Diceros bicornis minor: one gene and its partners. The protein of the gene in region 1 interacts with the protein of each later gene in a pairwise test. Links are inferred from orthologs where the notes say so. Each region holds a gene or a part of one and is shown in the gene's direction. Other genes may lie near its edges. The genes, in order: STK16, TRIM42, SAXO1 and PLSCR3.

Evidence for each region.
Region 2: the proteins of STK16 (region 1) and TRIM42 interact in binary tests that used the Homo sapiens proteins (3 or more experiments, as listed by UniProt). The two-hybrid records come from large-scale screens. The link is inferred for Diceros bicornis minor from reciprocal best matches to the Homo sapiens genes STK16 and TRIM42.
Region 3: the proteins of STK16 (region 1) and SAXO1 interact in binary tests that used the Homo sapiens proteins (3 or more experiments, as listed by UniProt). The two-hybrid records come from large-scale screens. The link is inferred for Diceros bicornis minor from reciprocal best matches to the Homo sapiens genes STK16 and SAXO1.
Region 4: the proteins of STK16 (region 1) and PLSCR3 interact in binary tests that used the Homo sapiens proteins (3 or more experiments, as listed by UniProt). The two-hybrid records come from large-scale screens. The link is inferred for Diceros bicornis minor from reciprocal best matches to the Homo sapiens genes STK16 and PLSCR3.

What each region holds. Positions count from the first base shown.
Region 1 is NC_080776.1:9,544,413-9,552,423, forward strand, and holds the start of STK16 (serine/threonine-protein kinase 16), read left to right. Parts: upstream 1-5,009; 5' UTR 5,010-5,089; intron 5,090-5,095; exon of another isoform or gene 5,096-5,289; 5' UTR 5,290-5,393; coding exon 5,394-5,479; intron 5,480-5,593; exon of another isoform or gene 5,594-6,057; coding exon 6,058-6,277; intron 6,278-6,528; coding exon 6,529-6,662; intron 6,663-6,819; coding exon 6,820-6,940; intron 6,941-7,068; coding exon 7,069-7,164; intron 7,165-7,528; coding exon 7,529-7,650; intron 7,651-7,760; coding exon 7,761-7,899; 3' UTR 7,900-8,011. Other genes in the region: GLB1L (beta-galactosidase-1-like protein), read right to left, coding at 2,336-2,396, 2,562-2,712, 2,968-3,134, 3,316-3,384. UniProt on the Homo sapiens protein: Membrane-associated protein kinase that phosphorylates on serine and threonine residues. In vitro substrates include DRG1, ENO1 and EIF4EBP1. Also autophosphorylates. May be involved in secretory vesicle trafficking or intracellular signaling.
Region 2 is NC_080741.1:12,847,365-12,854,187, reverse strand, and holds the start of TRIM42 (tripartite motif-containing protein 42), read left to right. Parts: upstream 1-3,820; coding exon 3,821-4,161; intron 4,162-6,823.
Region 3 is NC_080761.1:41,259,548-41,267,266, reverse strand, and holds the start of SAXO1 (stabilizer of axonemal microtubules 1), read left to right. Parts: upstream 1-4,702; 5' UTR 4,703-4,717; coding exon 4,718-4,740; intron 4,741-7,719. UniProt on the Homo sapiens protein: May play a role in the regulation of cilium length. Stabilizes microtubules at low temperature.
Region 4 is NC_080757.1:10,920,044-10,926,897, forward strand, and holds the start of PLSCR3 (phospholipid scramblase 3), read left to right. Parts: upstream 1-3,839; 5' UTR 3,840-4,229; exon of another isoform or gene 4,230-4,960; 5' UTR 4,961-5,131; coding exon 5,132-5,138; intron 5,139-5,400; coding exon 5,401-5,636; intron 5,637-5,734; coding exon 5,735-5,777; intron 5,778-5,880; coding exon 5,881-6,101; intron 6,102-6,382; coding exon 6,383-6,544; intron 6,545-6,854. UniProt on the Homo sapiens protein: Catalyzes calcium-induced ATP-independent rapid bidirectional and non-specific movement of the phospholipids (lipid scrambling or lipid flip-flop) between the inner and outer membrane of the mitochondria.

The sequences.
Region 1 (8,011 bases):
ACATGATCCAAGATAATTAAACATATGTTAACAGGATCCCCCTGGCTGCTGTATTGAGAATAGACTACATGGGGGAGGGGCAAAGAAGGGCAACCAGTTGGGAAGCTATTAAAATAGTCCAGCTGAGAGGTGGTTTGGACCAGGGTGGTGGCAGTGGGGGTGATGAAAAGTAGTTGAATTCGATATATTTGGAGGATAAAGCTGGCAGGATTTTCTGATGGATTGAATGTGGGGTGTGAGAGAAAAATAGGCCTCAAACATACCATAGTGTTTAGCCCGATCAGTTGGGAAACAGAGTTGCTGTTAACCGAGATGGGGAGATTGTAGGAACTGCTGGTTTGGGAAGCAATACAGGAGTTGAGTTGCATCATTATGCCTTTTAGATCTCCAAATGCAGAAGCCAAGTAGACAGTTGGATATACATTTCTGGAGGCCAAGGGAGGGTCCTGACTGGAGATACACATTTCAGAGTTATTACCTATTAGATGGAATTTAAAGCCAGGCGAAAGGATGAGATCATCTACGGAGTGAACATAGTTAGAAAGGAAAAGCACCCAAGGACTGAGCCCTAAAACAAGCCAGCATTTAGCGGAAAGGAAAATAAAGAAGAATGAGTAAGAGACTGAGAAGTGGTCAAAAAGATTAGGGGGGAGGGGCAGGGACCAGATAGTGTGGCATCATGGAAGCCAAGAGAAGAAGGTATTTCAAAGGACAGAGTGATAGACTGTGCCGAATGCTGCTGATTGGTCAAGGAGGATGAGGCCTAAGAAATCACCATGGATTTAGCAACGAAGAGGTCACTGGTTTTCTTGAGAAAAACAGAGATTGCATGTTTGGTGTTCCAGCCATACTTTATCATTTTAAACGTATTTCATAGTCAACTGAGTTTAGGAAATGCTGTAAGGGACATAAAGCTCTCCAGCACCCTAAGAAGTGGAACAGTACCTAGAGAGTTCCTCAGCAGATATAAGGCATTTACCAGAATGATCTTTTTAAAAGGTATAAATCAGATAAAGTTATTCCCTTGCTGTAATGACTTACTATTTGCACCTGAAATGAAATCCAAATTCCTTGAAATATTGGGCATCTCAGAGCTTAATCTTGAGTTCTCATCGTTTGTTTCTCTACGCTCTTTCCCCAGGTGATGTCTCAGTCCCCATGGGTGTAAATGCCATATTTAGACTGACGACTCCCAGATTTCTCTCTCTAGCTCAGACCCCCGCCCCGCCCCGAGGCTCCACACTCACACATCCTATTGCTTGCAATATCCTCACCTGAGTGTGATATGATAAAAATTTAACATGACCATAAGTATTGTTTTTACCCCCAAGAGTTGCTCCTTTGCCACTCCTAGTCTTCTCTATCTTCCCTGTATCAGTAAATGGCACCACCACCTTGACTGGCCAGAAACTTGATTCCTCTCTTTCCGGCCCCTACCCACACTATCCCCGCCCCTCCTCTTCCCATCAAAATCTATCAACAGTCCTGGTGATTTTTATCTCCAACCTGTATCTCAACTCTGCCCTCTTCTTTCCATTTCCATCACCATCACCTTAGTCCAGGAGCCATCATCTCTCTCCTCAACCACAGTCATAGTCTCCCAATTAGTTTCTCCACCTCCACCCTTGCTCCCCTCAATCCATTCTCCATATCCAGGCTCAAGTAATCTGAAAACAAACCAGGTATGTCTGGTTATACTCTTTCAATGGCTTTCTACTGTGCTTAGAATAAAATGCGAACCCCTCACAATGGCCTACAAGGTCCTGCATTAATAGTTACTATCTATCACCAATTTCATGTCACACTGCTCTCTCCCTTACTCGCTATGCTCCAGCCATGCTGGCCTCAACCATGCCATATTCTTTCCCAGAGAAGAATATTCTCGGGGTCTTACAATATACCATTCCCTCTACCTGCTCATTCTCTCCTCACTCTTCATATGACCAGAGCTTTCCCTTCCCTAGAGTCAAGTGAAATGTCATCTTCTCAGAAAAGCCATTTCTGACCTCCCCACCTAAAAGAGGCCCACTGTGTTATTCACGATCTCAACTCCTTGTCTGTTTTCTTGTGTGGTATCTCTACAGCTTGCAATAATCTTAGAGGTCTTTGGTTTTTTTAAGAATCTGCTGCTTTCACTATAAGTTGCATTGCACAGGGACTGGGTCTGTCTGGTCCCCCTGATTCTAGCATCCTGCTGGGCATGAAGGAAACACTCAATAAATATTTGAATGAATGATCTCCAATCAGGGGACACTCTCTTCTGTTTTGGGCACCCAAATGACTCATTTTGTTATTGTTTACTTTTTCCTGTGGTAAATCTTTTGTCTCAACTCACCTGGATCTGAGGTTCTCAGATGAATTTTAGGTTTTCGAAGCAACCAGGCTGGGAGACCCCCCTGAGACAAACACGAAGACAACAAAGAAACATGTAGGTTTTGCTGAGAGTGGAGTAGGGAGGTAAGAAGAGAGTAAGTTGAAGTGGCCCGAGAGTGTGGGCACATGGGTATAGTAGGAACCGCACATGGGTGGCTGTGGTTCTATCCCTTCTCCAACTAACTCACCATCTCCCACTCTGCACAGATGTAAGGTCCTGGTCTCAGTATGACCAACAGGTTCGCTATAGCTGCCTCATTTAGAAATGCAATGAGGTCTCGGCTGCCATGAAAGTTATAGACCCCAGGCTCTGGTTCATGGTAGTTCCAGGGCACATAACTGAGAAAGGAAGAGGTTAACAGGGCCCAAGGAGGGTAGGGGACTGCCGGGGAGGCCTAAGGGCTCAGGCCTTGCAGGGAATCTCCAGGAAGTTGTTGGAAGGAGGTCCCGGCCCGCCTTTTCCCACCCTTGGCCTGGAGGCTCTGAGCTCTAATCCCTCCTCATACCCAGCCAGTCTTCCTGTCCAGAGCCCCTTAACGGGGTGGTAGGAAGAGTAAATCCCACCCCTCCCTGGCTTGCACGAGCACTTCTTACAACTGCACGGTGTTGAGGCCACTCATTCGCATCTTGAAAAGCCGGTCTGCCCAAAGCACCCTCGGTACCCGAAAGTAGTGGAGGCTGCCAGACACGTAGCGGAACGGGACCCCGTCCAGGAGAAATCTGTCATGATCCCGATCCACTACGAACGACCGAGTGTCTGCCTGCAAGGGGACAGACCGTGCTCAGCAGAGGTCTGGAGTGGGCAGTCAGCGTCTCCCGAGAGCAGATGAGATGGAACTAGCCCTGCCCGTTGTTTTGTTATTTTCACTTTCTTTCTCTCCTCCGCCAGATCCGATCCCACCTCACTGCACCCAGCCGGCCGGTTCAACCCTCTCTTCTTACCTGGGGCAGCAGCAGCGTCAGGAGCGGCAGCAGCAGGGAGGGAAGGCAGCGGGGCTTCTTGGGAGCCATGGCGCTTACCGGGGTCCTAGAGTCAGAGACAGCGGACCGATCATCACGTGGTGGATTCCTGGGAGGGAACCTCAGAGAGCAAGGGGGCGGAGACTACCTCAAATTGCCAGGCAATTAGCCTGGACTTTGTCTCCAGCCTGCAGCCACCCGCTACTCTACTGTGTGTAAAATCCTTTACATTTGAACCAGCTTCCTCAGCATCACCTGGGAGCTTGTTAGAAATGCAGAGTCCTACCTCTGACCTATAGAATCAGAATTTGTATTTTAACAAGATTCCCGGGCGATCCTAAGCAGTGCTCTACTAGACTGAGCTCCCTGAGGATGGGAAGTGCCTTTTGCCCATCTTGAATCCCCAGCTTCTAGCACAGGGCCGGGCACATAGCAGGTTAAATCTAGATGAATGTCAGAACCGGGGGCTAAAACAGGTTCCGAACCAAGGGAAACTGTAGGAAGATCTTCCCAGTGATGTGGGGGGGGAGGGTTACAAAACGGATCTTTTTCCTAGAGAGCCCTGTTTCAGCAAAAGAGACCATCCAGACCATTCCATCTTCTTTGGAAGAGCACCCCTTTCCAATTGATCGCTGCCTGCCTGGGCAAGAGATGTCAAAAACAGCTGCCTGGTGCCAAGGCTTGGGAATTTATGAATTCCACTCCTGCCTTCACAGTCCCAAACCTAGGATGTGAGAACCAGGGTAATAATAATAATTATTATTATTTCTGTTTATTGACATTTACTGAGGGCTGTGTGTCAGATATTGTGCTAAGCACTTTACATCTCATTTAATCTTCAGACAACTGGATGAGATAGATAATTATCATTCCCATTTTACAGATGAGGAAATCGAGGAACGAGAATATTAAGTAGCCTGTCCAAGGTCACACAACTATTTTAGTAGAGCTGGGATCTGAACTAGGCAGTCTGGCCTCACTGTTCATGCACTTAACCTTAGGTGCTATTATACCTATTTTACAGTTAGGGAAAGAGAGACTCCGAAAGGTTATGTAACTTGTCTGAGGTCACACAGCTTGAGACCTCAGATCTATTAAGACCGGATTTAGACCCTAGTCTGGTTCAAGAGCCTGAGCTCTTAACCGCAGAGACGAGGTAGTGGGATACAGGCCAGAGCCTCCCAGGTTGTACTGATCAGAGCTCTAGGGGGCCAAGCAGCCAGTACTCGCCCCTCCTTGCGTCCCCCTCCGGGCTGAACTGTAGTCACCCACCCAGCGCGCCGGAGGGATGAGGCCTCCTACCTCCGGCATTGGGAGATGGAGGTCCTGGGGGCCTCGGGCCGAGCCCGGCTTTGCTCCCCTTTGCCGTAGGTGCCTGCGTCTTGACCCCTACTGAAGGCCAGGCGTGGAACCCTCTGCGGGTCCTGGGACCGGTCCTCCCCAGGCCTAGCCCGCCCCCGGCCTCCCAGCTCCACGCCCCCACATCCTCCGGACGCCCGGCGGTTGCTAGGAGACCGCGGGCCGTTATGCCAGCGCGGACTGATGACGTAACCACTGCTTCCGGTCCCTGGCGCTTCCCTTTGGCCGGAGCCAGGTCAGTAGGGGGGCTGGGCTGGGTAACCCAGGGCTCTGTGCGCCGAGGACGAGGGTGGGCCATGCAACGGGTGGGCCCGAGCCTCGCCCCCCCGGACCCCCGGAACTGGCCTCTGCCGTACGTTTGCGGCGCGACGGGCGTGGGAGCCGGGGCCGCCCGAAGGTGCGCTGGGGGTGGAGGAAGCGTCTGGTAGTGTGTGGCCTGAGGCTTCAAGGCACCTGACCCCAGGCTTCTTGGAGCTGGCGTCGCCAGGGCCCGTTTTTTCTAGGTTCCGAGACCTGGGCCTGAGCTCTCCACATTGGGACTCCAGGGGTCATCTGGATTGTGCCCGACCCGCGACCCTGCCGGTTTTTCCCTTCCAGCATGATCCGCTGGGCCTCCAGTGCGTCGCCTGGAGGAGCCCACTCAACCTGGACGAACTCTTTGGCAGCCTCAGAACGTCCTTGAGGAGGATGAGTGAGACACTATGGGCCACGCGCTCTGTGTCTGCTCTCGGGGAACTGTCGTCATTGACAATAAGCGCTACCTCTTCATCCAGAAACTCGGGGAGGGGTGAGTGTTTGGAAATCACTTAGCTGGTCCCCAGGGTTGTGGTGATTGGGGGACATAAGTCTGAACGTGATAGGGGCATAAAGGTTTTATTCTCTAACCTATCCTTTAACTCACCTGACAGAGCCTAGCTACACGTAGTCAAAAAAGTGGATTCTGGGGCCAGGCCTCCTAGATCCACGTTCTGTGACCTTGATAAGCCATGGTTTCTTCATCTCCTTAACGGAGATAATGATCTTGTGTCACTGATGGAGCTGTGAGGATTAAAAGAGAGAACACATATAAAATGTCTCGGTCAATGCCTGGTTCATAGCACGTGATAAATGTTGACTATTATTTATTTAATATTTATTGAGCATCTGTCATTTTCAGAGCATTGCGTTATGACTGTGGAACCTCAAAGATTACTATGTCCCTGCTCTTGAGCTCAAAGTGTAATAGTCTTCAGATGTCTCTTAGAGCCACGTCTTGGGAGGGTTTCTAATAAATGGGAAAGACAGCCCCCTCTTCTCCCAGGGAGTTCTGGGTCCAAGCCATGTGGGAGATGACCGTGGTCCTTCACTGACCCCTTTGGCCCACAGTGGGTTCAGCTATGTGGACCTAGTGGAGGGGTTACATGATGGACACTTCTACGCCCTGAAGCGGATCCTGTGTCACGAGCAGCAGGACCGGGAAGACGCCCAGCGAGAAGCAGACATGCATCGCCTCTTCTATCAGCCCAACATCCTTCGCCTTGTGGCTTATTGTCTGAAGGAGCGGGGCAGTAAACATGAGGCCTGGCTGCTGCTGCCTTTCTTCAAGGTCAGAAAGTCTCCTGGTTACAGAGGGGGTTGCAACAGAGCCACCTCCCAAGGCCTGTGTGAGCAGGCAAGCATGTTAGGAAACAGAAGCCATGTCCTGGGTTTGACCACTTGGGGTTCAGAGGAAGCCAAGGGTGACTGTGGAGTGTGTGTGGTGAAAGGGTCGATAGGCTTTTGACATAGGGAAGGGATCAGGCTCAGGGAGCAGAGACTTGAAAAGCCTCTCCAACTGTGGGGAAACTTGTGTTGCAGAGAGGTACGTTGTGGACCGAGATAGAAAGGCTGAAGGACACAGGCAACTTCTTGACTGAAGATCAGATCCTTCGGCTGCTGCTGGGTATCTGCAGAGGCCTTGAGGCCATTCATGCCAAGGGTTATGCCCACAGGTCAGTGGGAGGGCCCTGTGTCCCTGCTGGGACAGAAAGGAAGAGCCTCACCAAGAGAAATGAGAGATCTCTGCTCTCCTCCCATGATTCTTTTGCCCCCTGGGATTCCAGCTTCCCTGTCCAGGGACACTCATGGGTCATTTCCACTTCCCTACAGGGACCTGAAGCCCACCAATATCTTGCTTGGAGATGAGGGGCAGCCGGTTTTAATGGACTTGGGTTCCATGAATCAAGCATGCATCCACGTGGAGGGCTCCCGCCAGGCTCTGGCCCTGCAGGTAAGAGAGTCTCCAGGTTCCTTTGCCCACCTGCTCCCCATCCTTGACCCCTTCTGCTGCATGCCCCCGTTTGGTCACATGACCATGACCTGTTGTCCCACTTTTGAGCTCTGGGGCCACTGTTCCAGGACTGGGCAGCTCAGCGGTGCACCATCTCATACCGGGCCCCGGAGCTCTTCTCTGTGCAGAGCCACTGTGTCATCGATGAGCGGACTGATGTCTGGGTGAGGAGGAATACTGCTCTGCACCTACGGTGGGGGAGAGGAGCAGGTTTCTGGTGCATGGGGCCCCAGGAACCATATATGTCCCCATCCCCCTTGACTTCCTTCCTGGGAACTGTCACTGTATTCAGTTGCTCAGGAAGTGGTTAAATCCTGGGGTACAGCTAAATGTCAGGGCTGAAGGCAGTGACTAAGCAAGGGGTGCAGAGGCCTCTGGCTAACTGGCAGTTTTCTCTGAGCCCTGGTGGTGTGACATGGCTGAGGTCGGCATAGTCCTTCTGGCTTATGTAGTCTCCTTTCACTACAGAATTAAGAGGAGAGTGATCACCTCCACTGGTCTTCCAAGGAATAACCAAGTTATGCTCAGTCCCTAGGCTGTGTGCTATATGCCATGATGTTTGGGGAAGGCCCTTATGACATGGTGTTCCAGAAGGGTGACAGTGTGGCCCTTGCTGTGCAGAACCAACTCAGCATCCCGCAGAGCCCCAGGTGAGCGGTAACGGGCACTAAGCATTTCAGACTCCTCCCTGACATGAGCACAGTCGGAGCCTTAGCACGGGGGATGGGTGCCCTGCAGTCACCCTGCCCTCCTCCCACAGGCATTCTTCAGCACTGCGGCAGCTGCTGGCCTCCATGATGACCGTGGACCCGCAGCAGCGCCCTCACATTCCTCTCCTCCTCAGTCAGTTGGAGGCACTGCAACCCTCAGCTCCGGGCCAGCACACTACCCAAATCTGAATAAACGTGGCCACATTGAGGACGTGGCCCCTGTGCCTTGGAAAGAGTCTCCCATCCCTCACTGGAATCTGTCCATTGTATCCAGGATGCTCTCTTGTATTTGGGGGCAGCT
Region 2 (6,823 bases), on another chromosome or scaffold:
AAAATACCATTCATGATAACATGAAGTCATATATATAAAAAATTCCTTAAAAATCAACAAAAAAAGATTAGAGCTAATAATGAGTTCATCAAAGTTGCAGGATACAAGACCAACATTGAAAAATCAGCTTATTTCTCTACACTAACAATGAACAATCCAAAAATAAAATTAAGAAAACAATTTCATTTACAGTAGTATCAAAAGAATAATATACTTAGGAATTAATTTAACCATAGAAGTACAAGACTTGTACACTGAAAATTAAAAAACATTGTTGACAGGGAGTCAGGAGGATCAGAGTCAGAGGAGATGTGATAAAGGAAGAGGTGTGAAGAGGTCAGAGAGAGAGAGATCTGAACATGCTAGGATGCTGGTTTTGAAGATGGAGGAAGGCGGCCGCAAGCCAAGGAATGCAGGTGGGCTCCAGAAGCTGGAAAAGGCAAAGATTTTCTCCTAGAGCCTTCAGAAGGAATACAACCCTGCTGACATCTTGATTTTAGCCCAATGAGACCTATTTTGGACTTCTGATCTCCAGAACTATAAGATAATAAATAGTATTGGATTAAGCCAAAAACAAAAACCAAAAAAGAAAATCGTTGTTGACAGAAAGTAAAGAAGTCCTATATAAATGGAAGGACATCTTGTGTTCATGGATTGAAAAACTTAATATAGCTAAGATGACAATCCTCCTCAAATTGATCTATAGATTAAATGCAATCCCTATCAAGATTCTAATGGACTTCTGTGCCAAAATGGAAGAGCTGATCCTAAAGTTTATATTGAAATACAAGGGAATCAGAATATCCAAGACAATCTTTAAAGGAAGAACAAAAGTAGAGAATTCACACTTCCCAATTTCAAAACTTACTACAAACCTGCAGTAATCAGAACAGTGTGGTTAGTGTAAAAATAGACGTATAGATCAAAGGACTAGAATAGAGAGTCCAGTAATAAACCACATATATGGACATTCAAATGTCAAATACAAAAATTAATTCAAAATGGATCAAAGACCTAAGAGTAAGAGCTCAAATACAAAGCTATTAGGAGAAAACATAGGTGTAAATCTCTAAAATCTTGGAATTGGCAAAGGTTTCTTAAATAACACCAGAAGAGCAAGCAACAACAACAAAAATACAGGTAAATTAGACTTCATCAAAATTAAAACTTTTGTGCTTCAAAGGACACTATCAAAAAAGTGAAAAGACAAACAACAGAATGGAAAAAATATTTGCAAATCATATATCTGATAAGGGTATAGTACCTATATTATACAAAGAACTCTTACAACTCAACGATAAAAAGGACAATTCAATTTTAAAATGGGACTTGAACAGACATTTCTCCAAAAAAGATATCCAAATGTCCAATAAGCATATGAAAAAGTTCGCAACATCATTAGCCATCAAGGAAATTCAAATCTAAACCACAATGAGATCCCACTTTATACCCACTATAATGGTTATAATAATAATAATTTTAAAAGAACAATAACAAGTTTTGGTGAGGATCTGGAGAAATTATAACCTCATACATTGCTGGTGGGAATGCAAAAATGCAAAATGATGCAGCTGTTTTGGAAACAGCTTGGCATTGCCTCAAAAAGTTAAACATAGAGTTAGCATATGACCCAGAAATTCTACTCCTAGGTATATAGTCAAGAGAACTGAAAACATATGTTCAAACAAAAACTTGCACACAAATGTTCACAGCAACGTTATTACTAATAGCCAAAAAGTGGAAACAACCAAAATGCCCATCAACTGATAATGAATAAACAAAATGTGGTACAGCCATATAATATACAATATACAATATATACAATGTGACCTTTTGTATCTGGCTTCTTCCACTTAGCATAATGTTTTCAATTTTCATCCATGTTTTAGCATGTATCAATATTACAGAAAGTAGATTAATGGTCGCCAGGGGCTGCAGGGAGAGGGCATAGGCAATGACTGCTAATGAGTACACAGTATCGTTTTGGGGTGATAAAAATGTTCTGGATTTAGATAGTGGTGATAGTTGCACAGTCTTGAGAGTATACTAAAAACCATTAAATTGTTGACTTTAAAGTGGTGAGTTTAATGGTAAATAAATTATATTTCAATAAGGATTTAAAAAGAAACGAAAGGAAAAAAAAACAAGAGAAAGCCTTGCACAGACCAATGATGAAAATGTACTAGAAATTCAGGAGTGAAACAAACCTCTGTACCTGGCAGGTAGAAAGGAATATTGATAAAATTGAGTTCACAAAACTCATAGGGAAAAAATGTCTTTCATACATTATTGATGTCACTATAAACTGGCACACACATTTAAGTAAGCAATTTAGTAGTATCTATCAAAAAAATAAAGCACATACCCTATGATCCAGGATTTTCATTTGTAGGAATCTAAGATCAATGTGTGGCTAACACTGTTGGTACTCAGTGAACATTCCTGTTATAAAGGTGAGAATCATAGGGAGAGATAATAAATTATGCAATAAACTACTGCAGCCAAATTCAGCTCTCATTTCTGCTTCTTTTTGGAAAAATAATAAGAGTGTTTACACCAGAGTGTTTATACCAAATGACCATGAAATTTCTGCTCTTTAATTTTATTTATTTATTTTTCCCCCCAAAGCGCCAGTAGATAGTTGTACATCATAGTTTCACATCCTTCTAATTGCTGTACGTGGGACGCGGCCTCAGCATGACCTGACAAGCAGTGTGTCGGTGCGCGCCCGGGATCCCGGGATCCGAACCCGGGCCACCAGCAGCGGAGCGCGCGCACTTAACCGCTGAGCCATGGGGCCGGCCCTGAAATTTCTGCTCTTTAACTCTTTTCAAGCTGCATAGAGTGGAAAGCAAAATTCTCCCCTAAAATATAAGGTCGTTTCTAGAGATACTGAGCATGTACTAAAAGAAGAGTTAAAGGTTCTCATGTAGAGTTCCAGCCTATTGATAAAAGGGATATAGTGGGATGGGAGGAGGGGGAGAAACAGAGCTTGAGCCTCAGCCTTGAAGCCTCCGTTTCACCATGAAGCTATAAAAAAGCCAAGAAATGTTCAGAGTAACTTATGCATGAAGACTCATGAGAAGCAGCAGTGACGATGCAGCAACTGACCAACTCAACCACTACTGAAAGAAGCGCCTAAGTGAACTTACATCTTTTTTTCCTTTAATTCTTTCTCCAAATGGTGATTCCCTTTAAATGTAGCATTGCTATCATTTGTAAACAGCGTGCTTTGTTCATAAAACAAAGAGTTCTATCAAGGCAGAAAAAGCCCAAGGAGAGGAACATCACGTCAGTCTACTTTTCCAATTAATCATACCCAGGCCTTTCAGCCTATAAAGACATACCCTGAAGTCAACTTACCCAAGTTGCAGGAAAAGCACCAAGCAAAGAGAAATAGCTTCTGAAATCCACCCCATAACCTAAAAGGTGACAAGTGACAGCTAAAGCTCCAGGATGGCTCATGGCATTAACTCTCCTCTGGAGTTGGTCCTCTGAAAGCATGGAGTGTCCATCAGCCCACCTGCCACTACCCCCCAGATCTCACCCTCCCACCTACCCAGCTTGGTGAGATATGGTAGGTAGACAGGGATTGTGACATAAGCGAATGGCCTCAGTCTGATATATGTAAATGCCAGCCCATGAGCTTCCCAGTAGGAACACAGCCTGTGAAGGCCTCATAACAGCCAACCTCTTGCAACCTCCAAGCTGACGGGCTCATCAGGGAGAGGAGGGTCCTCCTCACAGGAGAACTCACAGGAAGATTCTAGTAGAGGAGGCATCAAGAGGCCCAGAGGGCGGTGGCAATCATGTAGGCACCATGGAGACCGCCATGTGTGTTTGCTCTCCATGTTGTACATGGCAGAGATGCTGTCCTCGACTATGCTCCTGTCTGTGCTGCAAGTTCCTCTTCACCTCGGAGCGGAACTGCACCTGCTTTCCCTGCCCTTACAAGGATGAGCGGAACTGTCAGTGCTGCCACTGCACCTGCTCCGAGAACCCCAACTGCCACTGGTGCTGCTGCTCCTGGGCCAATGACCCCAACTGTAAGTGCTGCTGCACGACCAGCAGCAACCTCAAGTGCTACTACTACGAGAGCCGCTGCTGCCGCAATGCCACCATCACATTCCGCAAGGGCCGCCTCAAGAGCATCCGCATCTCGTAAGTGCCGGGCACCCAACGTGGGCCACACTGGCTCAGGAAAACTGGGGGCCCCTGCCAGCTGTGGGGTCCACAGGGAAGGCCAGCGGTCCTGCGAGTACATTTCTCTAGCTGAAAAAAGGAACCCAAGAATTTTGTAGCAATTGAGTGTGTCCTAAACAGCCACTAACCGTGGAGAGACCTGAGTTCCAAGTCCCCCATGTGTGAACAAGCACTGTGCTCCCCTGAACCTCAGCTCTCTCGTCTGTACAAACAGTCATAGCTAAGACTTAGTGCTTAAGCAACTTGCCAGGCACTGCATGCACGGCCCCATCCGACCCCCAGCACACGCCCACTGTGCAATGAGGAAACGGAGCCCTTGAGAGGGTAAGCAGCCCAGGATCAAACAGCCAGTAAGATGTGGTCAGGATTTGAACCCAAAGTCTGTGCTCTTAACTTTAAAACGCTCTGGTGCAAAATGGAGAGAACAACGCCTATCACGATTCGGTGGGTTTGAGGATTAATGTACGTGCTCTGTAGTCTGTTATGTGACATAAAAATACAAATTGCTCCTCCTCTTCCTCCTCTGAACTCTTGATATCTGCAACACTTATCGGAAAAGCAAGAACTTCCACAGCTTTTGACCCCTATGGCCTACATAAGTCCCCCAGATGGCCGTGACCTTCTGCCAGCTTTCTCTCCATTTCTATCCAGAAGTCATGGCACTGAGGGTCTCAGTTACTCATTTGGGGCATTCACTCCCTGTCTCAGGCAGTGCACATCCTCTTCCCGCTCTGACCAAGCCAGGCTTTTTATGTCACACATGAGGGGGATCTGGGAGCAGTAGGCAGGCTCCCTTGAGGAGGAACGATCAAAGCTGAGCGCTGTAAGATGACAGGATTTGGAAAGGCAGAAAAGTGAGAGGCAGGTTTGAAGCCTTTTAAGGCTGGAAAAGCCATACTGTGAGAAAGGTTCAGTGAACTCAGGGGAAGAGTATGCTCTGTCTTGCAGTTCACACTTAGTAGATGCTTAATAGATGTTACCCTCTGCTCAGGGACCTCTCATGGTGCTTGTGCGAATAGAGAACCCAGGGGTCCCGGATGCAGGTCCAGAAGCTCTGAGGTGCAGAAAGTAGTGTCCACACTCCTCTCTCCTCTCAACTGCCCCACTTTCTGCGCATCAGCAATGGAGAGTCACTGAGCCCATTTCAACAGGCGAGGGATGACATTGGTTCTTTGGGAAGATGCCTTAAGCCAGTAGCTCCCAACTGCTTTGCATGGAATCACTTGGGGATCTTTAAAGACTACTGATGCCTGGCTCCCGCCCCTAGACATTCTGATTTTATTGGTCTGGGGAACGACCTAGGCATCAGAATTGTACAGGTCCCCTCCCAGGTGATTCTAAAGCGCAGAACTGCCTGGAGGGGACAAGGAGGGAAGCTGGGAGACTTGCTGGGTGGTAGAGTGAGAACCCAGGAGCAGGAAGAACAGGGCTGAATTCGGGAGAGGGAGCAGGCTGTGCAGAGGAGCAGAGGCTGGAGATCTCAGCAAGCAGGCAAGGCCGCGGCGCTTGGAACTGTTCTGGCGCGGAACCGTGGCCACTGGATGCCCGGGTCCAAGCCTGAGCTTTCCGAGGGTGGGCAGGGATGCTATCGCAAGTGTCAAGGGGTTGGCTCTGGGCGCACTGAGGCTGATCTTCCATCTGGCCTCTCTCCTGAACCGCTGCCCTTCCTGTTCCTCACCACCACTTCCTGCTCAGCGTCTCGCTCCTCCTGCCTCACTCTGGCCGTATCCATCCCTGTCCGCCTCACTCATCTCTTCTGCTCACTTCCTGTTCCACCTGTACCCCTTCTCCCTGGGCCGTTAACACCTGTCTCTTAGCCTTGCCCTCTCTCTCTTCCTCTTCCCCCAACACCACCCCCACTCCCTCCTTCTTCTGATTTCTCTTGCTGTCTCCCTTCATGTTACACCTGATTCTCAGATTCCCACCTTATCAAACTAGAGAAGACCATCCAGCTACCCTGTGAACAATTGACCTGCATCTCCAGGTGAGCCCTTCAGGGCCCAGGGAGGAGGCTGGGAAAGCAGGGAGGGCTCAGGGCTGAGAACATTGAGGCCGGCAGGCCTGGAGCCCAGCAGCCAAATCCCTAAGGGAGGAGCCTTCCAGGTGCCTGAGTCTCCACAAGGTGCACTCTCTGCCACCACAGGGCCACTCTACTCCAACATGTCTGGGCAGCAACTTTAACTCTCTGGGCTCCGAGACATAGGTCCCTGGCCAAGGGGATGGGGAAGGAGACAGGGGCAGATGGGGACTGCAAGAAGGAACAGCAGAAGACAACACAGCCACAACATCAAGATCAACACCCAAACGTCACTAATGTGAACAGAGGAGAAGAAATAGGAACAGTCACCAATTGTGTGTCTGTTTACTCCTCCATCCCCACAGTGAATTCATTTCTTTTCATCATCTGCTTTTGCCCTGATGGTAGCTTCTTAGAACATGCACTTGAATTTTACAAGTATGCTTTTTCTTCATCCATAGTTCTTACAATTAAATATATGAAATCAGCCTTGGATATTAGACAAATAAAGAATCAACATACACACACACACAAACAGCAGAAGCACACACTTGTCATGGACTTGACCATCGTTCTCCTCTATTGTGGACATGAGCTGGCTAG
Region 3 (7,719 bases), on another chromosome or scaffold:
CTGATACCAGGCAAGGCTCAGTGGGGGATTCTAAAAGACCACAGTAGAGGCAAGACAAGCCACTGAAATCCACAGATGCTGTTCTCCTTACAAATAGGTTAGGTTCTAAAACACTATTGGAAGTCCATTTGTTTGAAAAGCCCAAAGTTGTGTTATACTAGCTACTATTCATGCTGCCTGGTGGTGGCAGGAAGAGTTGCCATGTTTTTCTTCTGATGAATAGCTTTGTTGGCAACTATGAAAATTCTTAACCTGTAAGGTTATAAGTTAAGGACTGTACAAGGCAGTACAGAAGAGAAAGGATCCTAAAAGAGGTAGGGACATGACACCATGCACACTAGAGGAGAGTCACAGCCATAACAAGGAGCAGTGGGATCGTCAGTAGCTCCCTGGGGTGGTGGTGGTGGTGTAGTGGTGGCTTTCAAGATGGGCCTTGAAAAAAGGGAAGCATTTTGGAAAAGTGAAAGTGGCGGGAAAGAGAGCAACTCCAGGGACCGTTACAGGTGTATAAAACTGAAGCTGGGCTCTGCGGAGAGAGGAGAATTATGGAAAACTCCTTCAATTAATTGTTCATGTCTTTTAATGCCTCTGATTGTGTCACATGAAAGCAGGTCAGAGAGTCCAAGCAAGGGACAAATTCCATATTAGCCAACAAAAATATTTCTAGGCATCTTTCTAGCACTTGAGTGCTTACAGTTCTTTTGTCTGTACCTTCAAATCCTAGACCTGCACTTTCCAACAGGGAAGCGACCACCACATGTGGCCTTTGAGCCCTTGAAATGTGGTAGTCCTAATTCAGACGTGCTGTCAGTGTAAAACACATCTTGGATTTTGAAGATGTAGAGGGAAAGTAAAAGATCTCATTAATAATTTTTTATATTGATTATATGTTGAAGTTATAATATTTTGAATAGATTGGGTTAAGTAAAATATTAAAATTAATTTTACCTGTTTCTTTTTACCATTTTAATGTGGCTAGTAGAAAATTTAAAATGACGTATGTGGCTCTCATTCATGGCTTGCATTCCATTTCTATTGGATGGTGCTATTCTAGAGGTGCTCGTTACATCCTTAAAGTTCTGTCATCTGTTCTAGGGTTCCTTGAGTCACAGTTGGCTCTGAGTGAGGTGCATGTCAGGAAATGCACATCGTCATTCTGATGTAATAGAGATGTAGGTTCTGTTTATGGTTAGGTCATGTACTTCATTCTCTGAGCTTCAGATTTTTCATCTACGTAGTGGGGATGTTGGGTCATATATTCTCCATGGCCCCTTTCAATTGCAAAACTCTATGATTCTGGCTTGGAGTCAACTACTGCTGAGTTTTTCTGGGTTCCATTGAAAGGTGTCTATTACCCCTTTTACCAAATATCAGAAAACGTCAGGATTATTTCCTTTTTACCTCTGGTCCTTTGGTAAATCCTGAGTGGAATGACTTTAGAGAGTTCTGATAGACTGAAGAAACCTTCTCTCTCCCCTTTTCCTTCTCTACCTATTGGCCCCATCTAGGCTTGTTTGTGCTGCTGAGCAAGGTGGCCAAGGCAGCTCCTAAAATGAGTACAAGTATCCGAGAACTGGAAGAGGTCTCATTTTTTTGGTTCATGACTGTCAAGCCTACATTTAAATCTTGCAAGCGTGGTGATTCCACATACTTTCTTTAGGCACTGATTAGGTCCATATAAACAGAGAATGTCTCTTTTCCCTTTTGGCTCTACTGATGTTTGAGCAAATCAGTTGTTTTCCTTTTCCGGAGGACTTGTAAATATCTTGTAGCAGTTCATTGTCCTATACACTGTCCGACTGCCCATCCATCTATTAAATAAATACATAAGCATTAGGATAGCTTCCAGAACACAGAGATGTCAGTCTTGGTCTTTATCGTAGAGGAAGTCCTGTTTAAGGAGGGGGTGGGCAGACCAACAAGGAGAAGATACAGTGCTTGGTGTCTTGAGAAGAATATTCTGGGTATTTGGGTACAGGTAAGGAGAGGTGACCCCATGAGCAAAGTCAAGCAATGAAATATTCGCTTTCAAATAAGAGTTTTTGAAATTTCAAAGTGAGACAAGGTTTTAGTTAACTAGCAGCAAGTCAAATCAGATCTGCCCTCTATGTGTCAATATAATTCCATTTAATGGAACATCAGTGTCTGAATGGAAGCTCGTTGCTATACTGAAATCCCCTCATGATACCAATCACAGTGTAGTATTTTGCCTTCACATTTATTTTTCTTTTGGAATAAGCCTTTACAGGATGTTACAATTTTAAAAAGTAACAATATGGAAAGGGGGTTATATAAAAGCAACATTTTACTGGTTAAAAAACAAGGGACCTGGAGAAGGAAAATATTGCTATATCTGTGGAGTCTGTTTTATTGCAAGTCCCTGAATCTAAGTTATTCTTAAAAAAATCTTGACTTTTCTTTCAAAGAGTGTGAGTGAATAAATATCTCTGTGGAGGTATTTTTGGTACTTCTTGGCTTTTGATTTGAGGTTTGTTGGAGTCTTAAAATGGTAGGGTACTAATTGGGTCAGATTGAAATCTCAGAGAATTGGACTGATTGTGAGCACAGATGATAATAATATCTAACATTTTTATACTGTGGGGAATGGTTATTTTGTATACTATGAAACTCCGCAATTTATCTCTTGAGTGGACAGGTGAAAGCCTGTATGTACCTATGATTAGGAGATACTTTATTAAATAGATACAAAATATAAATACGTATTCATCTTTGTACATTAAATGCCAACAATGTGCATTTTGAAAAAAGAATACTAAACTTTTATTGAGTGTATTTAACACTGTAAAATTCAGATATTCATAATATAAGGACAGTATACTTATGGAAGATTTCCTTGTAAATAATTAGAAAGATCTAAAATGTTCCCCATGAACCAATAGTACTTTTACAATAACAAAAATAAAAAATAAATGTAACAAGTTTATATCATCATAAGGCTTTTCCAATACACAAATCTATGAATGAGAAGAAAATAAATAGAGATATTTCTAAAGGAACTTGTTTATATGTAATTCAACCCATATGAACAATACAGGCTTGATCATTTTCTCTGGGGGTTGGGGGGTTGATGAGAGGTACACAGTAACAGTAAATGTTGGCTGCAACATTTGCGTAGAGGATTGAACTTATTAACAACAGGAGCAGCCTGCTAATCGTTGCCTGGAAAATAGCTTTAGATTTGAGCAGTGATGAGTTCCCTGTATGTCTGTTTCTCTCTCCCTCCTCCACGTGCTGCCCCACGGTACTGTGTATTTTAGTTTCTGTAATTAAAATCGATTCTGTGTAAAAAATTTAAAAATAATTCTATTTTTGATATAACTTTGTCATTCCTCGATATGACCAAGTTGGAAATCACTAGCAAGGAGTTTTGTTGATGTGCTAGTATCTAATGACTAGAGATGCCCTAAGTGGTTGGTAAGGATGGTATGTGGGCACACAGATAATTGATATACTACTTAGTTTTTGAGAGCTCAAACAGCTACCCTTTGTCCAGCTGTAGAATAATGTCCAGATAGTAGAATAATGAGGTTCATTTATTACCATGAGTGCAAAATGGACAAGCTTACTATAAATCATAACGTCAAATTATAATCTGTCATCTACCTGCATATTGAGGCATAAGGTTCATTTAATCATTCATTTATATATTCAATAATTTATTCAATAAAGGTTTATTGAAAGCTTAGTGTGTATCACGTAGGATATGAGGTGCTAGGGCTGTAGCTGTGAGCAAGATAGAAAAGGTCCTGAGCTTAATAGATGAGACAGACAGTAAACAAGCTTACCAACAAACATGCCTATTACAGATAACATTGAGTGATGAGGAAGGCGTACACAGTGATGAGGGAAACCGCGAGAGAGGGGACAGGGTGGTGGGGTGTAGTGTAGGTATAAGGTGATCAGCGGAGGTCTTTCTAAGGAGGCAACAATTCAGATGAGACCTGAAAGAATAAATAAGCCAGACTTTCAATGTGAAAATGGTTTCACGTAGTCAGTGGTGGTCAGTATACTCAGAACTGAGGTGGTTCTGCTATGTGTGCACTGATGTTCTGAATTGACCCAGGAACCATGAGGAGAGACACCAGCACACAGCCTTGGAGCATCTTGTTAGGTCAGGTATTAAGCCCTTAATTGCTGGGCAATTGGGAGGCCCGGGGAGGTCTCAGGGCAGGTCATGGGGCAGCTGGGTTGGCACTCAGAGAACTCAGGGCCACAACCATTTTCCTATTATGGGGTGGAAGTATTTCAATATTTAAAGAAGCAGTGTGGTACGTGTAGTAGCTGAATATCAGCCACACTTGTGTGTAATTTTATGGTCCAAGGAATTTTGACAATTAACCAACTGCAGTTATAGATCATTTAAAAAATTCTGGCTACTTCACATAGTTTAGTAGAGAAAAGGAAGGGTTAAATTCCTGCTTTCAATGCCAGCATTCACATGATTTTATGACTGGGTCACATTTTGAGGAGGTAGCATTATCAGACTGGATGTACTCTTCCTAAGAAGGTAAGCGACCTAACTTCATGTGTCTTTTGTAGGCGGCACCACTGTCCGCATCTCCCTACCAAGATTTACGATAAAACAGAGAAACCATGTCTTCTCTCCGAATACACCGAGAACTACCCTCTCTATCACTCCTATCTGCCCAGAGAGTCCTTCAAGCCCAAGCTGGAGTACCAGAAAGGGTCCATACCAATGGAAGGTCTGAGCACATCGAGGTGAGGGCAAGTAGTGTGAATATATGAACGTACAGCACTAGTGGAGTAACGTACAGTACTAATGTACAGTGTTAATGAAATAATGTACAGTCTTGCATTAATGTACAGTATCAACATATGCTATTAATGCTTTAATGTTAATTTGCTATATCTCTGAAAGGAAAATTCTGTATTTATTAGCCTGGTTGGTTTTTCCCAACCTCCTCTTAAAGAGAAAGGATTCTTGCTTGCTGGTGGGAGTGGGGAGACTAAATTGATCTACATAACGAAGGGTTGGAGGTTAAGCAAACTAATAAAACGATGGAAAGAGAGGGGCTGCTGCTGAAAAAGCAGTTTTGAGCTTTGGAACATAAGCGCCACGTCATCTAGGCTGGTGATGGCGGTGGTGGTGAAAGACAACTTGATAATAGAGAAAGAGTGAGCTTTTTGGAAATGATGCCGTAGACTTTGAATTGGGGTCCCCTTGAATGTCCTTGAAGAAAATGAACGAAGAATGTATTTCTTTAGCTCCAGGGCTGTGCAGAGACTGAACCACATGGCTCAATGGATTCGGGGTGCAGAGGGATCTGTATTGAGGGGTCGCTTTATGATAAGCCATTATCCTAAATGATTTGGTTTAAGCACAATGTTTCTGGGTCCTGATTCATAAAAAAATTATATTTTATGCAACCTGTTTTTTAGCCTGTGACTTAAACAATATGAACCTTAAAGTTTGCGCTTCGTTTTGCCAAGAAAACAGCATCCTTAGTTTCTGAGAGTCTAAAGACCACAAAAAGAGATGTGCACCATTCCTGAGCATTGCTTTTCCTTTTAAGAAACCATGGTCAATGCTAATGAAAAGTCCTCTGCACACATATGCACAAGAGACAAGTAACTGGTCGAAAAGAGTCAGAGTAATCTTGAAGAATGGTCTGCAAATATCCCGTTCAGCCTCTGGTGCTGGTCTTCCCATCTCTTTATATGCAATTTCCAGGAAATCAAGCGCACCTTGTGAGATGTAAACCAGTCTCAGATGTTGTTATATAAGGGATATATTTCCTATCCTGGAAATAGAGAAAAGGATGCTTTGAGGGATGGATGTTGAGGGGTGCCCTTTGTTTGTTGCCCACAAACTTAAGAGAATGAGGGCAAATCTTCTCTCTGGAGCTGGAGCCCTGCCCCATCACCCAACTCTGAGGCCCCCAGCTGGAGCCCCACATGCCCTCCCTCTTCCTGACAGTGCTTTGCAAAACAAAAACTTCCCCTCTGACCTGTCCTAAATTATCCCTGCCTTATGTCACTTACAATAAACATATGACCCAGAAGTTCCTTCTGTCCCTGCCAGGGCCAGAGTAGCAATATTATTCATGTCAAGATGTGGCCAAAGTGGAGGAATGCAGACACGGAAAGAATTTCCAGAACAAGTTGTTAATGATCATAAGGGCCTTAAAAAGAAAAACTGACAGGATCAAGGTTACCCATGAAGAGAATGAAGCAGAAATTCTTCTCTCTCTCTCGTTTGTTTCCTTCCCCAGAGAGGGAACTAAAGGATGAAATGAGCAGAGGGCATCCCTTCTCTTCTCTCCCCTAAGTTGTATCATTTCTCAGCCCTGTGCCTGCCTGGGCACTAGTTTTCATAGATCAAGAACAAAACTGTGTCTCAGTCAGGATGCATTTTTTTTTTTTGAGTTCCAGTAAGCTTTTATTGAGATAAATTAACAAACATCAAGATTTTACCAACCATCGTTTCTGAACCTTATAAACTCAGCAAAGATTCTGGTCCATATGTGTACATACAACAAAACTATTTCCTATCGGGAAAGGTAAAGAAGCATCATCTGGGTGCTGTACCAGAGGCTTCTGGGGGAAAGGATGGGTCAGCCCTGTGTCTTCACACCCCTGTATCTGCATGGAGTGTCTCCCTCTGCCCTTAGAACCCTTGTTATCGAATGTTCCACCAATTTCTCTATTTAAAGTCTGACCCAGCGTCATTTTTGAGATCGGACATGGGGCTGCCACCTGCTGAATGAAAAAGTCACGGGACCTGGGCCTTGGCTTGGTTTGCTGATTAAGCCCAGACACAAAAAACACCTGGTTTCTGGAAAGGTTATCATCCCAGCACGAGGCATCATTACAGCTGCACACAGCTCTTACTGACTGTAAATCTTGGGGATTTACAGCAGGTGCCATGAGGTGAATGCTCATGATTTCAGCCCTTCTTAGTATGAAACTGTTTCTTGCAGCCCTTGGTAATTCTCTCACGTAGGTTCTGCCTTTAGTTCATATACCTGAGATCAATTAATGAATAAGAGGTTTGCACTTCAAGCCTCACTTCCCCTTAGGCACGTCACTTATGTGAGACACTTGGGCCCCAGTTTGGGGCATTATTTTGTTAGCTAAGCCAGATTCCTAAAGATGGGCAAAGTGAATAGTCTCATAAGAAAGAGATGAGTCTTCAAGATGGTATTAGATATTTATTCTAAAGTGAGTGGCACCATGGGTAGGGAGAACTGGAGGCCCAGGGGGGAAGATGGAATTGGGTTCAGACTTGATGACTTTGGCTGAAGGGCAGAGGGCAGGGAGTTGGCAGCACAGACTCCTTCATTTATTGACAAGACTCCTGGGTAAAGTGAAGAGAGTAAGGGAAGCAGGAGCTAAAAGAGAAAAGGCATTTGGAATCCTTCCCCAAAGTCAGGAAAGAAGCAAGAAAGTTGGTAGTGGGCTTGAGTCTTTCCCTACTCATTGAATTTTACATATTTTCTATTCAAATACATACTTGACTTCTCTACTCATCCATACCCCTCGGGATATGCTTACTCTCCTGTATAGATGGGGCCTGAGAATTAATGAAGACATGCAGAAATAGGCCTCAGCACTAGACTTGCTGGGCAATTTCAGAGCCTTTGATGTGCATCTTTGACTAAATTTGGGGATATTTTGCATATTATTTCTTCAAGTATTCTTTTCTGTCTCTGAGGCTCTGTTCATTTCTTTCCTCCA
Region 4 (6,854 bases), on another chromosome or scaffold:
TGAAGGTGGCTTGCTTTAGGCTGCAAGAGGTGGTGAAAGGACTATTTTGAAGATAATGCTGATAGGACTTGCTGATGGATTGGATATAAGGGGCGAATGAGAGAAAGATTTCTAGTTTACGCATCTGGTTGAATGGAGGTGCTGTTACCCAAATGAGAAAAACCAAAGGAGGGGCAGATTAGGGGGAGGCAGATTAGAAGATCAGTTTTGGACGTGTTGCTTAGGACACATCCAAGTGGAGGCACCAAGCAGGTAGTTGGGGAGCTCAGGAAGGTGTCTGAGCTCGGGAGAGAGGTCTGGACTCAAGTTTACTCTGCAACCCACTCTGATCAGTCTTCCATCCCATCTCTTCCCCATAAATGCCCTTGGAGGGATCCTGTGAATCACTATGACCTCCTGGTTGCCAGATCCAGTGCATGATTTTCAGTCTCATCTTCCTCAGCTTTTCTGCAGCATTTGACACAATTGGCCACACTGTCTTTGAAACACATCATGTCACTTCTGTGACACCACTCTTCTGGTTTTCCCCATCTCTGTGGCTGCTTTGCCAGCTTCTCCTCTACCCAGTTGAAATCAATGGCTTCCAAATTTTAATGAAAAAGAAAAACATGGGGCCAGCCCAGTGGTGTGGCGGTTAAGTGCGCGTGCTCCACTTTGGCAGCCCAGGGTTTGCAGGTTCAGATCCCAGGCGCGCACCAACCCACTGCTTGTAAAGCCATGCTGTGGCGGGGTCCCATATAATGTAGAGGAAGATGGGCACGGATGTTAGCCCAGGGCCAATCTTCCTCAGCAAAAAAGAGGAGGATTGGCATTGGATGTTAGTTCAGGGGCTAATCTTCCTCACACACACACAAAAATAGAACGCCTATGTATACATATTTTAATTTCATCCTTTTTGATTTCTATTTTTGTGTATGTTTTATAAAGTGCATATCTGTATAGTATATTACGTGCATACTTAATTTTTCTGAAGGTGCGCATTCAAAAAAGTATAGACCATTTCTCCAAATGAGAAGATTTTCAGGTAATCTCATTCAGCCCCATATCTTTAATTACAATCTGCATACTTTTCAATCCAGAATGTCTATCTTCCACCCCAGTCCCTCCTGAGCTCCAGATTCCTGTAGTAGCTGCAGTGTAAAAGGGTGTTCACTGGAGACCCGGAGGAGTTAGGTGATGAGGAGAGAGAGGGGTGTGTTCCAAACCAAGGCAAGAGCTTTTGAGGCAGCCCTGAAGCAGGGGAGAGCCTAGTGCATTCAAGACCTGAAAGAATTCCTGGTGGCTGGCTTGAGGATCTTGAGAGGGTCAGTAGCCAACAATGCGGGTAGCAGGGGCCAAATGGTGGAGGGCCCTGTGCTGAGAGGTTGGACTCTGTTCTGAGGGCAATGGAGAGCCACTGAAACATTTATATCAAGGGAGGAGGCATGATTTGAGGTGTATTAGTAGAGGATCACAATATTTCTTCATTTTAAAGATGAGTGAAATAAGGTCTCAGAGGGGACCTCCAGAGTAGCCCGAGTGCCAGTGGCAGAGCCAGCACTGGATCCCCAGGCTCCTACCTCCCAGTCCAGTGCTCTTGCTGCATTTCCATCCTTCATCTCAGGTAATGTCTGGGGCACATAGAACCTCCAGGTGGAGAATCCGGAATCTGGAATGGCCACCCTCCATGTAATGTGATCCCTAATACCTTAGCTTTGGGCTGAACTCTTGGGGAACCAAGATAAATAAGGCCTGCTTGATAATTGGTCCCTATTATTACTGCACATTGTATTCAGTCTTTTCAAGAGCCCTGCAAGTTAGTGGGAAGTGAAGATAAGAGAGTTGAAGTAACTTGTTCTATATCATACAGCTGGGACGTGGGTAAGCTGTGATTCAGTCTCTCTTCTGTCCAATTCCCAGAGCTAAGTTCTTTCCTTCTTGTACATACCAAGAAACTCAGATTTCAGCAGTGAAGACGGACCCTTTAAAAAAATAATTGGTTACAATATGTTGAGTGTTACAAGGAGATACTGAGGTGGGCTTGTTTTGCCTTTGGGGACTGGTAGCACTTCCGTCCATCTGCTGGGTTTCAGCATGAATAGTTCACCAGAAAAAAGGGACAAGATCACGCTGGTAACAAGAGGGAGAACAGGAGTGTTTGGAGCTCAGGACGGAGGGGGCAGGCGGGAAATGACCAGAGTAAGGGTGGAGCCCACACTGTGAAGGGTCTCCTGGGACAAGCCCCAGTCAACTTTGACTTCCCTTTGCCTCACATCCTATATCCAAGCCATCATCAAATCCTCTTGGTTCAAATACATAACCGGAATCTGACCATTTCTCACCACCTCCATTGCTACCACTCTGGTGCCTGGTCTGAGCCACCATCATATCTCACCCAGCTCTTTGCAAGAACTTCCTTCTGCCCTTGCCTACCTATAGCCTATTCTGGACACTGCAGCCTGAGAGAGAGAGAGACCCTTCTAATACAGTAGTCCTCAGCCTTGGTTGCAATTTAAAATCTGCTGGGGGGCCCGTCCTGGTGGCATAGTGGTTAAGATCGTGTGTTCCACTTCGGCCTCCTGGCCCAGGGTTCACAGATTTGGATCCCCAGGTGTGGACGTACACACCACTCATCAAGCCATGCTGTGGCAGCATCCCACATACAAAAAATAGAGGAAGATTGGCACAGATGTTAGCTCAGGGACAATCTTCCTCACCAAAAAAAAAAAAATCTGCTGGGAAATTTTCAAAAAGTTCTTAGGTCTGCACCTTGCCCCACATATTCTAATTTAATTGATATGAAGTGGGGCCCAGGCAGAGGGATTTTTAAAGCACCCCCAGATGATTCTAACTTGTGGCCAGGGTTGAGGACCACTGATTTGGTATGTAAGTCTCATGTCTCTTCTCTGTCCAAACCCTCCAACACTGCCCATTTCACTCAGAGTATAATCCAATGATTTAAAAGGCCGTATGTGATCTGGCCTCCTGTGACCTCTCTTACCTCCCCCTCGTTCATTCCATTCCATTCCAGCCACACCAGTCTCCTTTTTGTTCATGGAACAAGTAAGGCACACTTCTGCTTTGGGGCCTTGGCCCTTGTTGTTCCCTCTGCCTGAAACACTCTTCACCTAGAAGTGTGCATGGCTCAATCCTTGACCTTCCCTTAGGTCTTTGCTCAACTATCACCTTCCTGATGATGCCTTCCTAGTCCACCCTCTTCAAAATTGCAACTCTTGCCCACCACTCTCTGTCCTCCTATCCTGTTCTATTTTTCTTCATAGCGTTTGTCACCATCTGACTTCCGATGTATTTTGTTTACATTATCAGTCTCTTCTCCATTAGAATGTAAACCCAAGGAGATCAGGAATTTTTGTCAATTCTTTTTAACTGCTGTATATTCCTATCACTTTCAATGCTGTCTGACATACAGTAAGTGCTCACTAAATCTTGGTTGAATAACTGAATTTCTGTACGTCTATGTGTTTTCGTGGAGGCTGGCCCATGGTTTGGGTCATGTAGAATCTGAGGCACTAAGGGGTACCAGGCACTTGGGTCTGAAGCAGATGATGACTGAAGCTGTGGGAGCAGCTGACCAGCCCAGAGGAACATGGACATAGAGGCAGAGGAACCCCCGAAGTTGCATCTCCCCATGTTCATCTTGATGGGTGACGCCTCCACCTGCCTGGTCACCAGGCAGGCACCTAGGGTCATCCTGGACTCCTCACCTCCACATCTCACCCCCCAAACAAGTTCTATATTATTGTCTAGATATCTCCAAAATCTGCCTCTGCTGTCGGTCTGCACTACCACAGCCATCCTCCCCCTCGCCCCCGACTACTGCCAACAAGCCAGCCTGAGTGCCTCCATTGTTCTCCACGCTGCAGTTTTAATGGTTTTTCTAAAACATCTGACCTCCCTCGGTCTTAAAATCTTTCAGTGGGCTAGCTGCTGTCCTTGGGGCCGAGTCCCAGCTCCCAGAAGGCCCTCTGTGCACGTGGGCTGGACTCCCTCTCTAAACTCATCTCTTGCCACTCAGCCTATAGGCCCCCAAGGCGCAGGACTTCCTCACGCCTGCATGCCTCTGCTCAGGATCGAGAGGAAGAGACTCTTCTTGGGGGAAGCCTTTCCTGCTGACCGCGCTGCCTCCTCTGGCCCCGCGCCTCACCTCACGCACGCTCATTATTGACTCGGTTTGGCGGCCTGTCACCCGCGTGGCTGGGGGCGCCTGAAGGAAGTACTGGAATTGCAAGGTGTCTGTGTGGGTCACTGCTGCGCCAGGGAGAGGGGACAGCGAGGTAGCCCCAGAGAGGTGGAAAGGGAGCCAGGAGCCAGTCCTAGAAGCCAACGAGTGTGAAGGGTGTTCCGCTGCGTCAGCGAGGCCCGAACCGCCCTTGGGAGGAGGAGCCTGGGGTCCAGGGCCGCGCAAGCGGCCCTCGTTCCCACTAAGGGGGACTGAGGACTCTGCGCCCGTAGACCTGATGGGTGTCGCAGGGCTAGGTCTCAGCCGGCTGCCCTCCCCAGGCGAGCTTCCTTTCTCGGACTCTACATGAGAGCGGAAAGGGCGGGAACGCGGACAACCAGAAGGAACCGGTGGTCCAGAGTCCGCGGCCCCGCGGGAGAGCCGGCATCATTTCTGCGCAGCCGCGCCACCCAGGCCGGGGAGGCGGGGCCTGGACGGGTCGAGGGGCGGAGTCAGGTCCTGGGCCCGCCTCCACTAGCTTCTGAGAGCCGCCGAGTGCTGGGCACCCCGGCTATTCTAGGGGCTTCAGGTGAGCGGGGGGCACAGAAGGGTCAGGAGATCTCCCTCGAGGTCGGGTCGTCGGTCTGACCGCAGGTCCATCTGTCCTGCCGTCTGCCTACAGCCTACTCCGCGGAAAATGGGAGAACAAAGGGAGGGGGCGGTTCTGGGGCCCCTGAGGGAATCCAGGGTCCCAGGTACCCTGCCCCGCCCGCTGACACTTTCGGTTTCTCTCCGAGTCAGAGGCGCCGCCCAAGAGACCCTGGGCCGGCGCCGGGCGCAGCTGCCTTTCGGCGTTTGCCTGTCCGTCTTTGTGTCTGTCTCTGTGTCTGTCTGGCTGTCTCCGAGCTTGCCTCCACTTCTAGAACTAAGCTTCTCGGATACCGACATCCCGCGAACCCTCGCCCCTTCCCCATGGCAGGTAAGTGGGCGCAAGGCCGAGGGTCTCCGTTATCCCCCCACGGACCTGGGAGCCGGGTGTCGAACACATCCTCTGGGAATGTGCTCAGACTGGCTTAGTGGGGCTCCTCCCTTCCTCCCGGGGAGCCGCCGCCCTGCTCCCCCGCCCCATCTTTCTCAGTCTCTTGCCACCACATTTCCCCCGTGGCCTCGTGGCCCGTGGGCTAAGGGGTTTGGGGATGAGGCCGCGGGTCCTATTCTAATCTACTCCTGTCCCCCCACAGGCCATTTGCCCCCTAAAGACTACGCCCCTTCGCCCCCACCTCCCTACCCTGTGACTGCCGGGTACCCGGAGCCGGCGCTGCATCCTGGGCCCGGGCAGGCGCCAGTGCCCGCCCACGCGCCTGCCCCTGCGCCCGGCTTCGCTCTCTTCCCTTCTCCTGGCCCCGGGGCCCCGGGGCCTGCTGTCCCCTTCTTGCCACTGCCAGGGGTGCCTTCTGGCCTCGAATTCCTGGTGCAGGTGAGTGGGAGGGAGGGGAGGAGGGAGGAGTGACGGGAAAGGGACCGGACGTCCAAGCCGGCCAGCTGACGGCGGGGCGGCCCCTACTCTCTTTCCAGATTGATCAGATCTTGATTCATCAGAAGGCTGAGCGAGTGGAAAGTGAGTGGAAGGAGGAGTAGGTTGGGCCTCGTGATGGGGGCAGAGATAGTGGGCTTTTGGACAGGCGCCGGTGCCTGAGCCTCAGCGTATCACCCCTTGGCAGCGCTCCTAGGCTGGGAGACAAGTAACCGGTATGAACTGCGCTCGGGGGCCGGACAGCCCCTGGGTCAGGCGGCTGAGGAGAGCAACTGCTGCGCCCGTCTGTGCTGTGGTGCCGGCCGGCCACTGCGTGTCCGCCTGGTGGACCCCGGGGACCGAGAGGTGCTGCGCCTGCTCCGCCCCCTCCGCTGTGGCTGCAGCTGCTGCCCGTGTGGTCTCCAGGAGGTGGGCGGGGAGGGATAGAGCCTGGGAGTGACTTGGGTAGGGGGCAGGCCTTAATGGGGCGGGCCAATTGTGGGGCAGGACGAGGGATGAGGCCTGGGATGAGGCTTCGCTCTGGTGGGAGTGGGCAGGTGGGATGAGAGGTCTAGTGAGGGGGATGACAGGTGGTCTAGTGAAGGGGATGGGAGGCCTTGTGAGGGGAGATAGGTGGTAGAGCTGGACTGGTGAGAGCTTGGGCCAGGATGCCCTGGCTCAGCAGTGACCCTGACTGCCTCCCACTCCAGATGGAAGTACAGGCTCCACCTGGCACCACCATTGGCCATGTGCTACAGACCTGGCATCCCTTCCTCCCCAAGTTCTCCATCCAGGATGCCGATCGAAAGACCATCTTGAGAGTGGTGGGGCCCTGCTGGACCTGTGGCTGTGGCACAGACACTAACTTTGAGGTACGTATCAGGCATAAGGGGAGGTTTCTGGGACCTCCATAAAGATGATCCATGAGGCAGGATGGCCAACACTAAGGTCAAGACCCTGAGCTCATCAATCCCAATCCACTGTGACTCCCACCACACTTCCAGTTTGCCTCCATTCAGAAACATGATGGCCCCATGGTCTTACAAAAACACGGCAAAAAGGGTTTCATCTTAAGGACCATTGCTGATTGTTACCTGCAGGCCTGTCTTGAGGGGGAAAAACTCTAAGGCCAGCCCAGATTTAGAGTAGAGGATGATTCTTGAGTCTGTCATGGGCTGGGCC